2 linked regions of the Tamandua tetradactyla genome follow. The protein of the gene in region 2 interacts with the protein of the main gene of each other region in a pairwise test. Links are inferred from orthologs where the notes say so. Each region holds a gene or a part of one and is shown on either strand. Other genes may lie near its edges.

Region 1 (10,089 bases), on a different chromosome or scaffold from region 2:
GTGTGGCCTCGGAAGAGGCCCTTGGTTTCTCTGGGCCTGGTTTCTTTCTCTGGAAAATGGAGCTAGTGCCCTTGTTTTGCCAGGTCCTGTCATGAAGACTGGGAGCCCGTGTGGGAAGAGGTCACCGGCCAGCTCGGGAAGGGTGGGTCCCCTCTCTCTTGCCCCCCTTCTCCAGGCTCCGTCTCCCCTTATGCTGTCACAGTCCCAGCGGACTGGTGGCCGAAGCCCAGGGTGGGTGCCCTGCTGAGACCCCGATTGCTGGGAGAGAAAGGACTCTGGCCCTGGCCTTCCTGGGGCCCCTTCCCCTCCCCACACTGCTCTCCCCCTTCCTGTCCTCACTGCTGGCTCCCACAACAGCCCTGGAGAGGCAGGCGTGATTCACGTGGTGATCGGTGTTGGGGAAGGGGCCTGGAGGGGGTCCCCAGGCATGGGGTTGGGGGGAATGAAGCCTGACCCCACCCAGCCAGTGGCTCACAAGGGAACAGGCAGGAGAGCGCTGACCTCTGCGAACAAAGGACCAAGGACGGGCAAGGACTGCAGGGAGCCAGGCAGGTCACGGCCAGAGAATTCTAGAGACAGTTTAGAGATTGTCCAGCCAGTCTCCTTGTTTTACAGCTGGGGAAACTGAGGCTTAGCGAGAGGAGGGGGCTTGGCCAAGTGCAAGGGGGTGGCAGGGCCCGGCTGTCCCATGCTCTGAGGCAGCCCCAGCATGCTGCCCCCACCCCCACCCCTAAAAACATCTCCAGGTCCTGGGGTGGAAATGGTGGGGGACTCAGGGCACCCTGAGAAGGGCAGGAAAGCATTCGAATTTCTCCCAGAGGGCAGGGGTCATGGTTCCTGAGGGAGGGGAGGGGCCCCCCAAAGAAGAAGGGCCAGGGAGGGGGTCTCAGGAGAGCAGGGCTCCCCGCAGCTCCTGTGCTGCCTGGCCTCGCATCCTCTGACTCCTGGCTGTCAAAGCCCCATGCCTGCTGTGGCTGGAGGCGGGGGCCAGCCTGAGCCCCCGCCAGGAGGCAGGGGGACCCGAGGGCCAGAGGTTGGCTATGTTTGTGAGATTGAGGGGACACACCCCAAGTGGAGGCTGGGTGCCGAGGGCACGGGGTCCTGGGTTTCTGTCCCAGTGCTGGCACTCCCCCGCCGTCCTCCCTGGACACCTGTGGGGAGAGGGTGCCTGTGAGAGGCCCCCCTCGGATGGGCTTAGGCTGGGAGCTATGTTGGGCTGGCTGTGAGGCAGGGAGGCCTGGAGGTTAAGAGGAGCTGGAAAAAAAAAAAAAAGGAAACACTAGTGGTCAGTGAGAGGGAGGGGTAAGGGGTATGGCATGTGTGAGTTTTTTCTTTTTGTTTCTTTTTCTGGAGTGATGCAAATGTTTTCAAAAATGATCATGGCTTTCCCCCTAAGATCAGGAACAAGACAAGGATGTCCATTATCACCACTATTATTCAACATCGTGTTGGAGGTTCTAGCCAGAGCAATTAGACAAGAAAAAGAAATACAAGGCATCAAAATTGGAAAGGAAGAAGTAAAACTATCACTGTTTGCAGACGATATGATACTATACGTCGAAAACCCGGAAAAATCCACAACAAAACTACTAGAGCTAATAAATGAGTACAGCAAAGTAGCAGGTTACAAGATCAACATTCAAAAATCTGTAGCATTTCTATACGCTAGCAATGAACAAGCTGAGGGGGAAATCAAGAAATGAATTCCAGGGCGGGCCGCGGTGGCTCAGCGGGCAAAGTGCTTGCCTGCTATGCCGGAGGACCTCGGTTCGATTCCCGGCCCCAGCCCATGTAACAAATACGGAGAAACAGAATACAATAAAACAAGAAAATGTTTAAAGATGTTTCCCTTTCTTCCTTCCTTCCTTCCTTCTATCCTTCCTTCCTTCTGTCTTTCCTTTAAAAAAAAAAAAAAAAAAAAAAAAAAAAAGAAATGAATTCCATTTACAATTGCAACTAAAAGAATAAAATACCTAGGAATAAATTCAACTAAAGAGACAAAAAACCTATACAAAGAAAACTACAAAAAACTGTTAAAAGAAATCACAGAAGACCTAAATAGATGGAAGGGCATACCGTGTTCATGGATTGGAAGACTAAATATAGTTAAGATGTCAATCCTACCTAAATTGATTTACAGATTCAATGCAATACCAATCAAAATCCCAACAACTTATTTTTCAGAAATAGAAAAACCAATAAGCAAATTTATCTGGAAGGGCAGGGTGCCCCGAATTGCTAAAAGTATCTTGAGGAAAAAAAACGAAGTTGGAGGTCTCACGCTGCCAGACTTTAAGGCATATTATGAAGCCACAGTGGTCAAAACAGCATGGTATTGGCATAAAGATAGATATATCGACCAATGGAATCGAATAGAGTGCTCAGATATAGACCCTCTCATCTATGGACATTTGATCTTTGATAAGGCAGTCAAGCCAACTCACCTGGGACAGAGCAGTCTCTTCAATAAATGGTGCCTAGAGAACTGGATATCCATATGCAAAAGAATGAAAGAAGACCCATATCTCACACTTTATACAAAAGTTAACTCAAAATGGATCAAAGATCTAAACATTAGATCTAAGACCATAAAACAGTTAGAGGAAAATGTAGGGAGACATCTTATGAAACTTACATTGGAGGCGGTTTTATGGACCTGAAACCTAAAGCAAGACACTGAAGTAATAAATAAATAAATGGGAGCTCCTCAAAATTAAACACTTTTGTGCATCAAAGAACTTCATCAAGAAAGTAGAAAGACAGCCTACACAATGGGAGACAATATTTGGAAACGACATATCAGATAAAGGTCTAGCATCCAGAATTTATAAAGAGATTGTTCAACTCAACAACAAAAAGACAGCCAACCCAATTACAAAATGGGAAAAAGACTTGAACAGACACCTCTCAGAAGAGGAAATACAAATGGCCAAAAGGCACATGAAGAGATGCTCAATGTCCCTGGCCATTAGAGAAATGCAAATCAAAACCACAATGAGATATCATCTCACACCCACCAGAATGGCCATTATCAACAAAATAGAAAATGACAAGTGCTGGAGAGGATGCGGAGAAAGAGGCACACTTATCCACTGTTGGTGGGAATGTCAAATGGTGCAACCACTGTGGAAGGCAGTTTGACGGTTCCTCAAAAAACTGAATATAGAATTGTCATACGACCCAGCAATACCATTGCTAGGTATCTACTCAAAGGACTTAAGGGCAAAGACACAAACGGACATTTGCACACCAATGTTTACAGCAGCATTATTTACAATTGCAAAGAGATGGAAATAGCCAAAATGTCCATCAACAGAGGAGTGGCTAAACAAACTGTGGTATATACATACGATGGAATATTATGCAGCTTTAAGACAGGATAAACTTATGAAGCATGTAATAACATGGATGGACCTAGAGAACATTATGCTGAGTGAGTCTAGCCAAAAACTAAAAGACAAATACTGTATGGTCCCACTGATGTGAACCGACATTCGAGAATAAACTTGGAATATGTCATAGGTAACAGAGACCATCAGGAGTTAGAAACAGGGTAAGATAATGGGTAATTGGAGCTGAAGGGATACAGACTGTGCAACAGGACTACATACAAAAACTCAAAAATGGACAGCACAATAATACCTAATTGTAAAGAAATCATGTTAAAACACTGAATGAAGCTGCATCTGAGCTATAGTTTTTTTGTTTGTTTGTGTTTTTTGTTTTTTTTTTCTTTTTTATATATTTTTTCAATTTTTTATTTTTATTATTTTTATTTTTTTCTCTATATTATCATTCTATATCTTTTTCTGTTGTTTTGCTAGTTCTTTTCCTAAATCGATGAAAATGTACTAAGAAATGATGATCATACATCTATGTGATGATATTAAGAATTACTGATTGCATATGTAGAATGGAATGATTTCTAAATGTTGTGTTAATTTTTTTTTTAATTAATAAAAAAATGATCATGGCGATGAATATGCTACTATGTGATGATACTGTGAGCCATCGATTGTACACCATGCATGGAATGTTTTTATGTTAAGAATTTTCATGTTCATGTGTTGTTTTGGTTTGATAATACAAAATAAATTAAAAAAAAAAAAAGAAGAAGGATGAGCTGCCTCCACTGTGCTGCCCCCTGCCATGTGCCCTCTTGGCTCACTCGCCCCTTGCCCTGACTCCATCGTCCAGCAAATACCTACAGAACACCAACTGCGGGGCAGGCACCATTCTAGCTGCTGGGGAGGCAGCACAGAAAACAGGAGCACAGTCCCTGCCCTCGTGGCGCTTCCCTTCTAGTGGTGGAAACAATCAGTGTAATAAATTGAGGTTCAGAGGCTGTTAGAAGGCCATAGTGCCTGGGGGGGATGAGAGGAGGTCGGGGAGAGGAGGTGCAGGGCAGGAGAGGAGGGTGGGGAGCCAAGGGGGGCCACCATGGGGGGTCTGCAGGCTGCCTAAGATTTGGGACTCTTCCGGAAGATTCCAGGAGCATGGGAGGGCTCTGGACAGAGAAGGAGCTGATCTGAGGCCCAGCCTTAAAAGGGTGGGGATGATGGGGGGAACTGGGAAACCATCAGTAGGCTCCAGGCACCCAGGAGGCACCTGCTCACCTGTCAAAGTGGAGATGAAGGAACAGCAGGGCCTCCACTACTCCAGGAGCCAGGCAGCAAGTGGCATCGCCTTGCACTTGGTAGGCCGGGCAACGGGTGACGTAGATGTGAGCACAGTTGTTGGAGGAGCTCTTATTTTCATGTCCTTTCCCACTGCCAAGGTTCTGGAAAGGCCTGAGGATGTCATGTGCCCGTGGGTGGATGCCAGAGGGGTGGATAACTGCTCAATCTGTCATCTGGATAACACCTCTGCCTCCCACGCGAGGCAGCTGGGCTGAGACATGCGTGGCCTGAATGTTGTGCATCCCCATTGAATAAGAGAGATAAGGCTTATGAGGAGAGGAGGGGTGGGGGTACTGGAGTGGGCCTGGGGAGAACTGAAGTCTGTTACTTGCCATTTCAGTGTTTAGGGTGCACTGACGCTTTTCCAGGTCTTTGCTTACTAATTGGTGGGACAAATACCTACTCTTTGGTATGCTGCCACCAAGTGCTGGTAAATGTCCCTGCTATGGGCCTGTGTTCCAAAAAATAAGACCTGCATCATGTCTCACCAGAGAAAAAGCATGATTTTTCTTCTCATCTAAACTAAATTTGGCAGGGCTGGGGGTGGGGAATGGGGACTTAATGCTTAATGGGTAGGGTTTCTGTTTGGGGTGATGGAAAAATTTGGGTGAAGGAAGGTGGTGATGGTAAAAAAACATTGTGACTAAAGTGACATCACCAACTTATATATCTGAATGTAGTTAAAAGGGGAAATTTTAGGTTGTATTTATGTTACTAGAATAAATTTTTTTTTTAATGAAATGAGCTAACGAGGTATAAAAAGGAATCGTGGGAGGGGTGCATGGGTAGTTCAGTGGTTAGAATGCCCACCTTTTATGCGGGAGACCCGGGTTCAATTCCCGAAGCAAGCATCTAAAAAAAAAAAAAAGAAATGGAAGGGGACGAGCCTGTCCCTGGCACCACGGGATCAACAATGCCATCTTGACAAAAAGGGGGAAAAGAAGTGTAACAAAGTATCAGTGGCTGAGAGTTCAAATAAAATCGAGAGGCTATTCTGGAGGTCATTCTCATGCAAACTTCAGTTAGACATTGCTATCCGTCATAACTTGCCAACCCCAACCAAACCATTCCTGTCAATCCTAAAGAACACCTAGTGCATTATATAAGATTCTACAAGGTTCCATGCACTAGGGTAAGTTTCCAAAAACCTATAGCCTCCAGATGGGTTCCTGGACCAGACAAGTCCTGAAATGCAGAGAATCCAGCCTCTCCAGAACATCAACTAGTTCCATCCCCCATCCCATATTATTGACAGCCCCTTCCAATATGAAAAAGTTAGAATGGGCATAGCCCAAATACCCCTACAGACTGGGAAAAAGATCCAAGGTGATGGTGGAGTTATACAGAGAAGGTCGGGTTTAACAAATGAGTGTGATTGCTGAATCATTATACTGATATTTCTTTTAGCCTCCAGTACCTTAGAGCAGCTAGAAGTAAAAACCTAAAATTGTGGAATTGTAACCCATACCAAATTCTGAAATCTTTTCTACAATTGTTGCAATGTGCTTTGAAATTTATTGCTTTTTTGTATATATGCTACTTTTCACAAAAAAAGTTGATTGTGATGATTTTATATACATATATATATATATATACACACACACACACACACATATATATTCCTTCTAGCTTCCAATGTCCTGGAGCAGCTAGAAGGAAAAATCTGAGATGATGGTATGGTAGCCCATGACAAACTCTGGGATCTGTCCTCTAACTACTTGTTGAAGAGTGCTTTGAAAATTATTGCTTTTTTCTTTCTTCGCTGTGTATATATGTTATACTATACAATAAAAAAGTTAAAAAAATCTGTTCTATAACTACTCATTAAAATGTACTTGGAAATTGTTTTTTTGTATCTATGTTATATTTCACAATAAAAACATGTTTAAAAAAAGAAAAATAAATGGAGGAACCTTAAATACATATTGCTAAATGAAATGTCAATCTGAAAAAGCTACATACTGCATGATCCCAGCTGCACGCCCCCAAGGCGGAAGTATGTAGAGGGGAAAGTGGTTGCCAGAGGTACAGGAGAAGAGGCTAAAGAGGCAGAGGACGTGGGACATTTAGGGCAGTGAAATTATTCCACATACTTGTGGGCACATGACATTATGCATTTGTCAAAAGTCAGAGAACTATGGACTTAAGTTCATATTGTGTCCATATCGGCTCATCAATTTGTACCACACTAATGTAAGACGCTTGTTACTATGGGGGTCAGGAAGGAGAGGGTTATGTAGGAATTATCTGTACTTTTTGCACAATTTCCTTCTAAACCTGAAACTGCTTTTGAAAAATGAAGTCTATTTTAAAAAAAGAAGTCCTAGGCTTGGGAGCAGCTGAGATGGGAAAGTTTATGTTGCGTATATGTTTCCACAATTTAAAAAAAGAAACTAAAAAGACAATGACAAATGTAATATATGATCCTGGACTGGATCTAATCATGGAAGGGAAAAGGCTCAAAGGATATTATTGGGACACGTGAAAAAAATTACAATACACATTGGAAGCTTTATTTCAATATTGAAATTCTTGAATTTGATAACTGCCCATAAGGTGGTTAATGAATATCCTTGTTCTTAGGAAATGTATACAGAAGCATCAAGTGTTCAAGGAGCATGGTGTATAGAAGCCAGTGTCAAATGTTTAGAAAATAGACAGGCAGATGGACGGCTGGACAGAAAGAATGATATGGCAAATGTGGCAAAATGTGGATGTGGATATCTGGATGGGAATATGTTGGAGTTCTCTGCACAGGTTTTATATTACTTTAGCAACTGGCCTGTAGGTTGAACTTATTCAAAAATAAAAAGGTTTTTTCATTTGTTTGTTTGTTTGTTTGTGTTTGTTTTTTGCATGGGCAGGTACCAGGAATGGAACCCGGGACTCCGGCATGGCAGGCGAGAATTCTTGCCATTGAGCCACCATGGCCTGCTCCAAATAAAAAAGTTTTTAAAAATGGGAAACGTTATAAGGGTTACTATATTAAAATTTAATAAAAATGAACTAACTTTATTTTAAGCAACCAAATGTGATCATTTTAGTTTGAAAGACTCAAATAGAAAATTCCTTTTAGAGAAAGTGTAAAAAAAATTCTTTGGTATATATATACACCAAAGAATTTTTTTATATATATATATACAAACTTCTTGCTAATGCTTAACAATCAGCAATTATATTTAACTTGGGTCTTCTCCCTGGCTTTTGTTTTTTTCCGCCGGACAAAAGGGTTTTGGGGTTTTTCCTTGTTGACTATAAAGGTGATCTATGGAGTGGATTGGCTGGATCAAAAAGGCTATCACTTTTTAAATTAAAACTATAATGCCAAATTGTTCTCCACAGACAATGGCTAAAGCATGCCTTATAAAAAGATGCCCAGAATTCTATCCTCAAGTTGGAGCCCACATAGCTCACAAAAGTTCCTCCTTCAAAAGCAGGCTTCATAGCTGTCAGGATTTGGGTATTTTCATTTCAAGATTCTGTTTTGTGGGAGAAAAATTATATATATATATATATATATATACACACACACACACACATACATACACACACAGAGTTATACGTTATTATATAATTACAGCTCTATATATCTTCTTTCCCAGTTGTCTTCCAAAGGTATTCCCCAAAGATTTTATTTCTTTGAATTTTTTTCTTCTTCTCAAGAGGACAAGAAAAACACTGCCTGTGACAGTGTTTTATTTTACTTTTTATATTTTTATTGAGAAAGTTTTACACACTTACAGTCCATCCATAGTATACAATCAGTGGCTCACAATATCATAACATAGATGTTTATTCATCACCATGATCGTTTTTTAGAACATCTGCAGCACTCCAGAAAAAGAAATAAAAAGAAAAAAGAAAAACTCATATATCCCATTCCCCTCTCTCATTGGCCACTAGCGTTTCAATCTATGCAATTTTTTTACCCCTTTATTCCCCCCCCATTATTTATTTTTTTACTCATCTATAAATGCCCTGGATAAAGGGAGCATCAGACACAAGGTTTCACAATCACACAATCACACTGTAAAAACAATATCGTTATTCAATCATAAGAATACAAAAGAATAACCTCCAGGATAACCTCTCAACTCTGTACGAAATCTCTCAGCCTCTGAAACTTTATTTTGTCTCATTTTGCTCTTCCCCCTTTTGGTCAAGAAGCCTTTCTCAATCCCATCATGCCGGGTCCTGGCTCATTCCAGGAGTTCTGTCCCATGTTGCCAGGGATATCTGTACACCTGGGAGTCATGCCCCTGTAGGGGGAAGGGCAGTGAGTTCACTTGCCAAGTTGGCTTAGAGAGAGAGAGGTCACATCTGAGCAACAAAAGAGGTTCTCTGGGGTGACTTTAAGGCATAATTACAAGTAGGCCTAGCTTCTTCTTTGCAGGAATAAGTTTCTTAGGGGTGAAGCCCAAGATTAAGGGCTCAGTCTATTAAATTGATTGGTCTTCCTCACTGCTTGTGAGAATATCAATAATTCCCCAGATGTGGAAACTGACTATTTTCTCCTTTCTCCCCAGTTCCCCAAGGGAACTTTGCAAATGCTTTTTCATTCTTTGTCCACATTACTTTGGGATATATGGACTAACCTGCACTAACCTGCACCAACCAACAAGACCTCATGCCCTATTCAAGATTCCATGTAATTATGGTGGTCAAATAAACTGACCATACAGGTTAAATTAGATAATACACTACCCAAAATAAAAATTTTGCAACAAATAAACATATCTCCCTTTGGTTGCACACAGAAGTTGAAGTTTTAAAACATGGATGATATCATCCTGTACCCTGTATCCTGATTTACCTTAGTCTTGTTCAGATTAGCTTCATTCATATCTCTACTCAAAGCCTGATCCCTTTTTCAACTTTTAAACAGTATGGGGTACTGCTGACTTTCATAGCTTCAGAGCTCTAACTCTGAGTCTCAAGTGTCACATAAATACCCAAAATTTCTGGGAAGGACCAGGTTATACACAAACAGCTTAGTATTTTAGGATTTAGAAATAACAATTAAAACTCCAGAATGGATGTGGCTACTGTAAGAGCTCACAACCTAGGCCCCAACCTGATAACCCATGCTCCCAACTTCAATTCACTGAATTTGTATATTATAGTTAATCTATATCATGAGTGAGGCATGATAATATTTGTCTTTTTGTTCTTGACATTTCATTCAACATACTGTCCTTAACATTCATACACTTAGTTGCATGCCTCACAACTTCATTCCGTCCTGTTGTGTGTGTACACCACAGATTCCTTTCCATTCCTCAACTGTTGTACTCTTAGGCCACGTCCACCCTTTGCAAATCACAAACACTGCCGTCAGAAACACCAGTGTGCAAATGTCCCCACCTTCAGTTCTTCCAGGGACATACTGAGCAAAGGGGTTTCAGGATCA
Region 2 (10,089 bases):
GGGGCCGGGTCCCCAGCAGCCTCGGGGCCGCGCAATACCCGGTACCGGGGAGGGAGGGGGTCACCGCTGCCGGCTGCGCCGCTCTCGCTCGGTCTCCGCGGTCCGCACGCAGTGTGACCTTGGGAAAGGAGGACAAAGGGGCCTCCGGGGCGCGCTGACCCGGCTGGGGGTGGGGCGTGGGGGTCTCAGCTTTCAGCCATGGCCTCCGGCCACGCGCACATCGGGAAGCCCGCCCCGGATTTCCACGCCACGGCCGTGGTGGACGGCGCCTTCCAGGAGGTGAAGCTTTCGGACTACAGAGGTGAGGGACCCCAGGTGCGGGTGGGGCCCGGGCAGAAGGAGGCCTGGGCCTTAACGCGCGACCTCTCCACTCCCACCCCCAACCCAGGGAAGTACGTGGTCCTTTTCTTCTACCCCTTGGACTTCACCTTCGTTTGTCCCACCGAAATCATCGCTTTCAGCGAGCGTGCCGGGGACTTCCGCAAGCTGGGCTGCGAGGTGCTAGGAGCCTCTGTCGATTCCCAGTTCACCCACCTAGCTTGGTAGGAGCCGGGACTGGGGGGAGGGGGAGGGTGGGGCGCAACTAGGTTCCCATCCTAGCGTCGTCCGTGCTGGCCTCGCCGTTGCTCAACCTCTTACCCTCCCTTTCACCACCTTGAGAATCACGGAAATTATTTCCATGGAAAACACCCTGGTCATTAAGGATTGCTGACAGCAATGAGCATGTGGAAACGAGCTGCTTGGCTTGGGAGTTGCACATGCTTTTTTTCCCTATAGTCCCTGGGAGGAAGGCGGGATTGCCTTAGTACTTGAAGGTGGAAAGTCCAGTTCCAGGAAGGGAAGGAGGATGGAGATGTGATGGCAGGATCCCTGCCTCAGGCTGGAGGCCATGAGGATGCCTAAAGAGGATTTGCTGGAGCATAAGCCTGCACATGAGTGCAGGGGCTTTAGTCTTCCCAGCTGTGGGAAACAGCTCCTGCACCCAGTTCAGGGTGGGGTGGGTGGTACTCCCAGGGCCCCAATATCTCCTGCCTCCAGCATCCCACTCCAGCCCTTATCACCCAGGCGCAAAGGGTAAGGATCTCACTGTGTGGGACCTCCTGAGGCCCCAGCCCTGTCTCCCCCACCCCCAGGATCAACACCCCGCGGAAAGAGGGAGGCTTGGGCCCGCTGAACATCCCCCTGCTGGCTGACGTGACCAGAAGCCTGTCCCATGATTATGGGGTGTTGAAGGAAGATGAGGGCATTGCTTACAGGTACTGAGGGACCCTCCCCCACCCTCAGGGAGCCCCCTTCCCATTTCCCCTCTATCCCCAGCTCTGTGGCTGGAGGTGGTCCATGCTCCCTCCAGCTCCTGGCCACAGGGAGTGTCCCAGCTCCTCACTACTGAACCCTGATGTCTTCAGGGGCCTGTTTATCATCGATGGCAAGGGAATCCTTCGTCAGATCACAGTGAATGACTTGCCCGTGGGACGCTCCGTGGAAGAGGCCCTACGCCTAGTCCAGGCCTTCCAGTACACGGATGAGCATGGCGAAGGTGAGTGGACACACAGAGAGCCTCTCAGTGGCTCTTGCAAACAATCACTGCCTGCCCTATCACCTGAGCAGGGGTAGGGGCATGTTAGGGCCCCCAAAGAAGGTTCAGCTCAAGGAGTTTCTAGTCTGGTGGAGGAGATGCCTCCTTGTAAGGGTGCGCAGCTGGGAGGTCATAGGGAACCATAGAAGGTATTCGAGGTTGCATATAGCACATTAGGCTTGGGGTATGTTAGTTGGATCCTGGTTAAAGAGTCTGAATGTAGATGCTCAAGTCCAGTAGCACTGGGGCTGAGGGTGAGACATGGGGTTGAAAACACCAAAAAGCAAGTGAGAATAAGAGAAGGAAAATGATGAGGCAGAAGATACTGCAGCTGGGCCTGTGAGGATAAACAGGTGCTTGGAGGGTGATGGGATGGGGCTTCTCTTTTTGAGCCTGGACCAATTGGTTCTTAGGTTTTTCTACTGCAACTCAGGCCCTTGCTTTGTATCTGTTCCTCCCTCCCCCCTGCCTCTACCTGGAAAATGGGGCTGTAGGCTCACACATCAGTTCTCATGTCTTCCACAGTCTGTCCCGCGGGCTGGAAGCCGGGCAGCGACACAATCAAGCCCAACGTGGATGACAGCAAGGAATACTTCGCCAAGCACAACTAGGCCAGCAGGCGGGTGAAGCTTGGGCCCTCTGCCCTCAGCCACGCCGCTGCCTGGGTGCCCAGTGCTGACCCTAGGAAAGACCCCTGTAGCTTCCCGGTTTGGGGCCCCAAGGTTCTTCTGATGCCCCCACCTGGGACCTGAGAAATCCCCTCTGCCCAGATCCCACTCAGCTGGGCACAGGCTTGGGGGGAACCAATAAAGTGTTAGGGACAGATGTGAGTGTGTCTGGGTGTGTTAGTCTGTCTTCCCCTCCCCCTGCCCCACCCCCACCAAGTGGTGTCTCAGGCCTCCTGTCTGGGAAACTGATCCTGTAGTTATTTACCGCCACCACAAGGTGGCAGCCTTACTTCATGCTCCCTCTACTTGTTCTTCCTTGGCAGGAGGGGGGACTGGGGGAACTGGGGTGTTTGCCCCTTGCAGGGAGCAATCCCAGGCTGTGTGACATGCTGAATCCTGGCCAGGCAGGACAGAGCATGGCCTATCAGCCAGCCCGGGTTCAAATGCTGTTGAATAGCCACCACCTTCCCTGCATCCCAGTAAAATGGGGTCAAGACTAGCAGCCTGAGTTAAAGGAGGCAAAGTGTGCCAAGCCTAGGGTGGGGACCCTGGTCCAGACCTGGTTACTAGGTTAGTTACCGTGATGGCTGCCAGGGGCAGGCTGTAGCCCAGTCTTACAAGGAAGAGGACAGAGACCTCCTCCTGGAGGGTTGGGAAACCCACACAACCCCGGGGGGGGGGGGGGGGGGGCTCTGTCCCACCCCAGGCTTGGAAGGGGGCTGCCTGTCTGCTCCTGGGGTCAAACATCAAGGCTGGTGTCAGGGGCAGGGCAGTGTTCCAAATTACCATGCTGCTGTGCAGTTTGCTGTGTGTGTTCAGGCAAGTGACTTTGCCACTCTGGGCCCCGACTTGATTCTACCGAACAGGGCTGATAGTCTCGTTTTATCCACAGACCAATTCTGATAGTGCTCCCCAGTCTAATAATCCTCGAAGGTTCACTCATCTCCCTGGGAATATAATTTACATTCCTCTCTAAGGCTAATGAGGCAGTGATTTCCTCTCCCCACCACATCCTATGGCTCAGGTCATCCCAGCTACACTAACTTCTTGCTGTTCCTTAACAGGGTGTTCTTTTTCTGGCCACAGGAACTTTGCATATGCCCTTTCCTCTGACGAGAATGCTTTTCCCTGGAATTTTCTCAGGGTCCCCTTATTGAAATCAAGGAAAGGCCAGCTTCCCCACCACCACCACCACCCTACCCCCTGGAGCTGTTTGTTTGTTTGCTTCCTAGCACACGATCATGTCTGCTTGTTGGTTATAGTCTGTCTCTCTTGGGCCAGGCGGTGTCTCCTGGACCCAGTGGTTCAAACTTGTAGAAAGGAATTCATTAAGTTGCAGGTTTTACCGCCACCCACTCACCACCACCCACCACCACCCCAGTCCCCGCGGCTTAGGTTTTCCTCCGCGTTTCTGGGGGCTTCCCAGCTTGGACACTGGACAGATCCCCCCTACCCCGGGGGCGCGGCCGCGTCCTCTCCCGCCCCAGCTACGGGGTGGGGGAGCCTGCCCCGTGCGTGCGAGGGCGGGGGTGGTGCCCGGCGGCCCGAGCAGCCGCCCCGGCAGGACCAGACCTGGCAACAGCCCCGCTCCGGGCCTGGCACCCGGGAGGGGAAGCTGGCAAGCGGGCGCCGCCCTTCCTGGCGGGGGTGGCGGGGCAGGGCGGCGCAACGGCGCGGAGACTGCCGCAGCCCCCGCGCCCGGGTCGGGTCCTAGGGAGAAGGCGGGGTGGGGGGGGGGGCGCGGCGCGGCGCCAACCCGAAAGGGCGAGGCCCGCCCACCGCGGGTGCGCTGGACCCCGGCTTGGGGCTTTCCGGGCCCGAGTAGCCGGCCCGCCTGGGAAAATCCCGGCCCCCTTCCCGGCGCCGCGGCCCTGCCCGGCAGAGCGGGGGAGGGGATTCCCGGAATCTGCCCGGAGACGGCCTGCGCGTCACTGGGCAGAATCGGCCCATATATGGGCAGCTCTTCCGCTGCGTCAGCGGGGAAAGCCCCGGCGCGCGCGGCGGGGCGGGGCCGCGCCTGCGCGAATCGCGCCTCCCGCGCCTGCGCATTCCGCCCCTCCCGCGCGCGACCCGGGACCGCGGGGAGGGCCGGAGACAGGGTCCGTGCTGGGGAGGGTGGCACAGATGCGGAGCGAGCCACGCACAGCACTGGGGGAGCAGCCTTCTCCCCTTCCCTCCTCCTCGTCCTCCCTCCTGACATTGGGGGGAAAAAAATGACTCCAGAAATTAATAAAGAACCTTTTTTTTTTTTTTACTTAAATAAATTCAATAAAAAGTCAGAACAACAAACGCACACACACACACAAACACATCTTAAAATAAACTCTTTAGAGACCAAGTGCGTGTTTCTTCTCCACAGTACGATGCAGTTGGGGGGGAGGGCAGGGGGCGGGGGTCCCCTCCCCAGTGTCCCCGCGGGCTGGAGTACCGGGCGGCGGGGCCAGCTCCGCCGCGGTCGCCCCCTCCCTCCCTCCTTCCCTGTTAAATACACAAATATATTATATTCAATATGAATTGAGTCTGTTTCCAGCAGAAAAAAAAAATACAAAAAAAATAATAATAATAAACGTGGAGCTCGGAGTCTGTAAACCTCGAGGTGGATGGAGTGGGAGCAGCGCGCCGGCTGGCGGGCGGGAGTCCAGTGTGGTTGGCGGCGTCCCCAAGGCCCCCGGGGCCGGTGCCCACCGCCTGTCCCCTCGCCCCCGTGGGAGGAGTGCACCCAGCCGTCCAGGCTGGGGTGGGTGGGTGTCCGTCCAGGGGGGGCGCTCAGAAGGCGTGGCCCTTGACCGAGAGCAGCAGTTGGCAGCCGTTGCTGACGTGGGTCATGACCTTCTGTTTGAGCTGGGCCACTTGCTCCCGGAGGAGGCCGGCGGTGCTCGACAGCCCCGCGTTCTCGGCCTTGAGCGTCTTCACCTTGTCCTCCAGGCGCGCGATGCGCTCCAGCTTCCGCTTCCGGCACTTGGTGGCGGCCAGCCGGTTCCGCAGCCGTTTGCGCTCCACTTTGATGCGCTCCTGGTCTTCCATGTTGATTGGGGACACCGGCGGTGTGGCGTCGCGGCTGCGCGCCTCGGGCACGGTCTGCGGTTCCTCCTTGAAGGCCGAGGCGCCGCGACCCAGGCCCAGCTGCGCCGGGTGGCCGCCGGCGAAGGGCGGCGCGTGAGGGAGGTAGCTGATAGTGGCCGTCGGGTACGAGCTCCCGGTCCCGACCGCCGCCCCGGCGCCTCCGGAGGGCGCAGAGGCCGGGGAGTAGCTGCTGAGGTTGGTGTAGACGGGAGGCGGCTCCGGGCCCGCGTAGACACCCCCGGGCCCGGCCGGGGGCCCCCCGCTGGTGCCCAGGGACACGTTGGGGGGCGTCACGTGGTTCATTTTGTGCAGGTCGTCCAGAGCTTTGACGAAGCCGTCGGCGAAGCCCTCTTGCTCCTCGGTGACGCTGCCCCCTGCGCCCCCCGCCCCTCCGCCGCTGCCGCCCCCGCGGGGGTAAAAGTACTGTCCCGGCGGCGTGGGCGTCGTCGTGATCACGCCGTTGCTGTTGGGGACTATCAGGCGCTCCAGCTCCGACGAGGCGAGCTTGAGCGACGCACCGGTGTCCGAGCCCTGGCCGGAAAAGTAGCTGCCGCCACCGCTGCCCTCCGGGCCGGGACCGCGCGCCCCGGGCGCTTTAAGGCCCCGGTAGGGATCCGCCAGGTTGAGCGCCAGGCTGGGTTTCAGCAGTTTGTAGTCGTGTAGGGAGAGGCCGCCAGGGGCCCGGCCGTAGCCTGCCGCCGCGTACGAGTCGTCGTGGTAGAAGGGCTGTTCCATTTTAGTGCACATCCGGGCGGCCCGGGCGGGCTGGGGGGGTCCCTGCGGGGCCGCCCCGGGCCTCGCTGCAGCGAGCTGCTCGCTGTCCGCGGAGGTGGCTGGATCGCGTGTCTGGACGCGCGTTCCCGGGGTCCCGCACCGGCGGGGGGCGGCCAGCCAGCGGCTGTGCGCGGGAGCTCTGCCCGCCTGCCCAAGCCCCTCTCGCCCTCCTCGGGCGCGCTCGCTTTCTCGGCGTTCGCTTTCCCACTGCCCCTCCGCTCCCGGCTGTCTCCGACGCTGGCCCGGCCGCGCTCAAGGTCCCTGCTGCTGGGCTGGAGCCGCCCGCCTTTATACGACGCTTGTCAGCTGCGGAAGTGCGCCCCGATTGGCCGTCGCCAGAGCCGGGCCCCCGCGCCCCCCTCCCGGAGCGTGGGGAAGGGGAGGAGGCGGCTCGCGTCACTGTCAGGAAGCGCGTGTCCTTGTAAACAGCGGCCACGGGCCGGGTGGCGCGGCGCGGCTTCACGGGGAGGGGCTGGAGGACCCAGGGGTACGCGAAGCAGGGCTGCTAGGGGGCCCGATGTACACCGGGGAGGGGCTGCGAGGAGGGCGATGCTTCCCCAGGAGTACCCGGGGAGAGATTCGAGGGCCAGGAGCCGAGGCTGGGGTGGGGGTGGTGTCCCAGGGCGAACGTGGAAAGGTTTGAGGGACCCCGAGTGTCAGAGAGGGGTTGGGGAGGGGGTGCTGAGAATACACTGTGAGCACCCAAAAAGTAGGCAGAGGAGGGTTAAACAGGGTAAATGCAGAGGAGTAAGGAGATACCTGTCCCAGGAATTGAGTGAGGATCGCAGAGGAAATTTTCACAGGAGGGGCTTAACGCAGGCCCAGAGAGGAGGGGAGAGAATTACAGGCACACGGGGGAAGGGGTGGACAACCCATTAGGCAGGGAACTAGTAGGGATCCTCACGTCCATGGCAGAGTCTGAGGGTCCCCTTAAGTGGGGAGGGGAAGGAGTTGGGGGCTCTAGATATATAGAAAGTGGGTTAGGGTCTTGGGGTACATTTTGGGTCTGGGGAAATATGTGGAGTAGAATATGAGACATGCCTGTCCGAGGGGCTAGGTTGGGGATTAGGGGCCATCTGAGAAGCCTTGATGGACTAGAGTTAGAAAGGGGTCGAGGCACATCTTTGGAGCTTAGAGGACAATGACGGGAGGGTCCCCAGCTGGGGCAAGCAGGAAGAGAGGGGGCTTCTAGGATCCTGGGAACGGGACGTGCTGGGCGTTCCATGACTCGAGCCCCACCCCAACCCCCACTCCAGTGCGTGACCCGTGGCACCCCAATACTCTGTCCCCAATCCGATGCCCTTCCCCCAGTGACCCTGTGGTCGCCCGACACCGTGTTGGGTCCTGGAGTTGGGACCCAGCCCGACGGCTGGGGCGCGGCCTCGCTGCCCCACTCCCTTCCTTAGAAACAGGCTGGGGAAAGAGCGTGGCGGCAGGAAGTGTGGCAACAGCCCCCGGGGAAGGAGCCCGGCCCTGCCTCCGTCACTCGGATCCTCCGGGACCGTGCGCCCCGCCCGGGCTCCGCGCCTGGGAAGAAGAAGCCGGACGCGCGACCCCCGCCGAGGCCTGGCCGCGCCGAGCTCGTCGGTGCCACCGCCCCCCGCTCCGGGAATGGTTCCGTCCGCGGCGCGGGCAGACAACGCGGGGATGGTTCCATTGGCCCCACCGAACGGGGAGTAGCCTGGGGAGCGGGGCCTGGTCGCCATGGCAACAGGCCGGAGTCCGCTGGCAGGACTGGGTGCCGGGCGGCCCCTGGAGTCTCCCCCCACCCCCACCCCACGCCCATATAAGGTCACAGGAAGGGGTGGGGCCTGCGCCGTCCCGGGGCCCCCAGCCCGGAGCCGGGAGCCCGGGGATCTGCCAGGTCCCAGGGCGCCCTGGGCCCCCGGACGGCTAGTCCCGACCAGCCCCGACCTCCGCCCCCAGGGCCCCGACGGCCGCCCGGCCCCGCCCCGCCCAGCCGCTCTGGGGCCGCGTCCTGCCGGGTCCAGCCAGGCAGGTCCCCGCCTGCCCGCGGGCCTGGGTCGGACTTCGCCCCCGGCCCGACGGGGCACCAAGGAGGCTGGGCAATGCCTGGAGGCGCCCCGGCGCCTGGGCGGGCTGGCACTGCTGCCTCCTTCCTCCGGGCGGGGTGCCCTTCCCCTCTGCCAGGAGGTCTGGGCGCTCCCCCAAACCCTCAGACACACACTCCTGGGGCGCCACTCCCTGGCTCTTGTAGGCTAGGGCTCCCCTTGCGTCTTAGCCAGCGGTTCCCATCTCCCATCTAGAATGCCTGGAGGGGGTCTCCATTCCCTCCTGAGGAGGTCCCCCCTCCCCACAGGGACACCTCCCCCCACAATCAGAGAGGACCTAAAAATCCAAGGAGAGAACGGGAAGAAACACAGCACCCTTTCCCAAGGAAAACTGGGTAGAGATTCAGATAGTGAGGCTTCTAGTTAGACTTAAGATGGGACTTCCAAGCACCTAGGGTGTGGACCTCTGGGAGAGGTGAGGTGGAGGCTGGGCTTGCTCAGGAGAGCAGCTCCCTCTCTGAGCCTCCCAAACTCTGTCTTCTGGGAGGATGGAAGCCCTTTTGGGATAGAGGCAGGCTGAGAGTCTAGGGCTGGCAGGCACAGAGGTGGTCCAGGGTAGGGGAGAGAAGGAAAATGACAGAGCCGAAAGAGAAACTGAGCTGTATGGGGGCAGGGGAAGTCCAGCAAAGTGGTAGCCTGGCGGGGTAGGGAGGGGAGAAGATCCCATGCAAAGCTGGGGGCGTCCCCATCTCTGAAGGGTCCCTGTCACCCATAAGAGTACCCCCCACCCCTCTTCCCCTTGCACTACCGGCTCCCCTCCCCCGCCCCAGTCTCGGGGAGATTCCGGCGGCGGCTGCTGGTGGCTGAGTCTGACCGGCGCGCTGCCAGGCCTGTGTCTCCCGCCCATGCTAATAACTGCAGCTGACATCTGGCCCGGTGGGGGCGCAGCGGGCAGCGTTGGGGGGGCTGGGCAGGGTAGGCCAGAGGGCAGCAGCACCTTGGGAAGTTGACCTGCAGGTCCCATAGGCCAATTGTAACTCAGACCTGGGGTGAGGTGTGTGGGGAAGAGCCCTGCAGGGGCAAAGCTGTGCCAGCAAGGGACAGAGGGCAAGTCCCAGAGTGTGGAGCAAGGAAGAGTAGGTGTTTGGGGGTTGGGGTCAGGGCAGGGAGACAGACAGGGGCAGGGTTAGCGTCCTGGAGACAGAGACAGACTCCCAGACACTTCAGGTAAGAAGACAGATGGAGAAATAATAATTATCCCTTTAATAGCTAGCACTTATATGGTGCTTCTAAGTGATTTACGTATAGTCAGTCATTAGACGCTTGCAGCAACCCAGCAAAATAAAGTCTCTTGGTCTCCCCATTTAACAGAGGAGAAACTGAGGCACAGAAGGTTCCAGAACTTGCCCAGTGTCCCACAGTTATGAGGGGTGGAGTTGGGATATAACCCAAAGAGTTTGGCTCCAGGGTCCCAAGAGAAAAACAGGCAGGGGATCAGAGCTCTGGAGAATCAGAATGAGGGGGCAAGGAGCCTTTATGCAGCACCAACTGTATGCCAAGCTCTGCAGGCCCTTTCACAAAGGGTCTCCTGTATCCAGAGAGAGGAGGAGTTGGGTGCAGGATGGGTGCCCAGAGGGTGCCGTGCCGTGGAGTGTATGTGTGGGGTACCTCAGCCTGTTGGGGTCGCTCAATGCACCCTGCAAGGAAGGGTGTTTGAGCAGGGGGTGGGAATGGGGCTGGTGAGGGAAGGCGGGGGCCTAGCTGAGCTGGTCCAGCCGGTTCCAGCCCCTGCCAGTCTCACCCTTGTGGCCTGGGTGCCACCCCCTCATGCCGCCCCACTGGCGCCAAGGCCAGCCCCACAAGGAGGGTGTGAGGATGGCCCCCTCTCTCCCCTGGTCTGAGTGCCCAGACCAGCAGGGGGCTGGGTAGTCTTGTGCCCAGGCTTCCCCCACACCCAGGGGCCTGGGGTGGGGGTGGGGGGTGCAGGATAAGGAGG

The links.
Region 1: the proteins of JUNB (region 2) and BATF2 interact in binary tests that used the Homo sapiens proteins (3 or more experiments, as listed by UniProt). The link is inferred for Tamandua tetradactyla from reciprocal best matches to the Homo sapiens genes JUNB and BATF2.

What each region holds. Positions count from the first base shown.
Region 1 is NC_135335.1:9,566,281-9,576,369, reverse strand, and holds the start of BATF2 (basic leucine zipper transcriptional factor ATF-like 2), read right to left. Parts: upstream 5,533-10,089; 5' UTR 5,490-5,532; intron 4,907-5,489; exon of another isoform or gene 4,791-4,906; 5' UTR 4,617-4,790; intron 1-4,616.
Region 2 is NC_135337.1:89,833,189-89,843,277, forward strand, and holds JUNB (transcription factor JunB), read right to left. Parts: upstream 6,356-10,089; 5' UTR 6,055-6,355; coding exon 5,011-6,054; 3' UTR 4,392-5,010; downstream 1-4,391. Other genes in the region: PRDX2 (peroxiredoxin-2), read left to right, coding at 199-301, 389-542, 1,134-1,256, 1,407-1,537, 2,102-2,187. UniProt on the Homo sapiens protein: Transcription factor involved in regulating gene activity following the primary growth factor response. Binds to the DNA sequence 5'-TGA[GC]TCA-3'.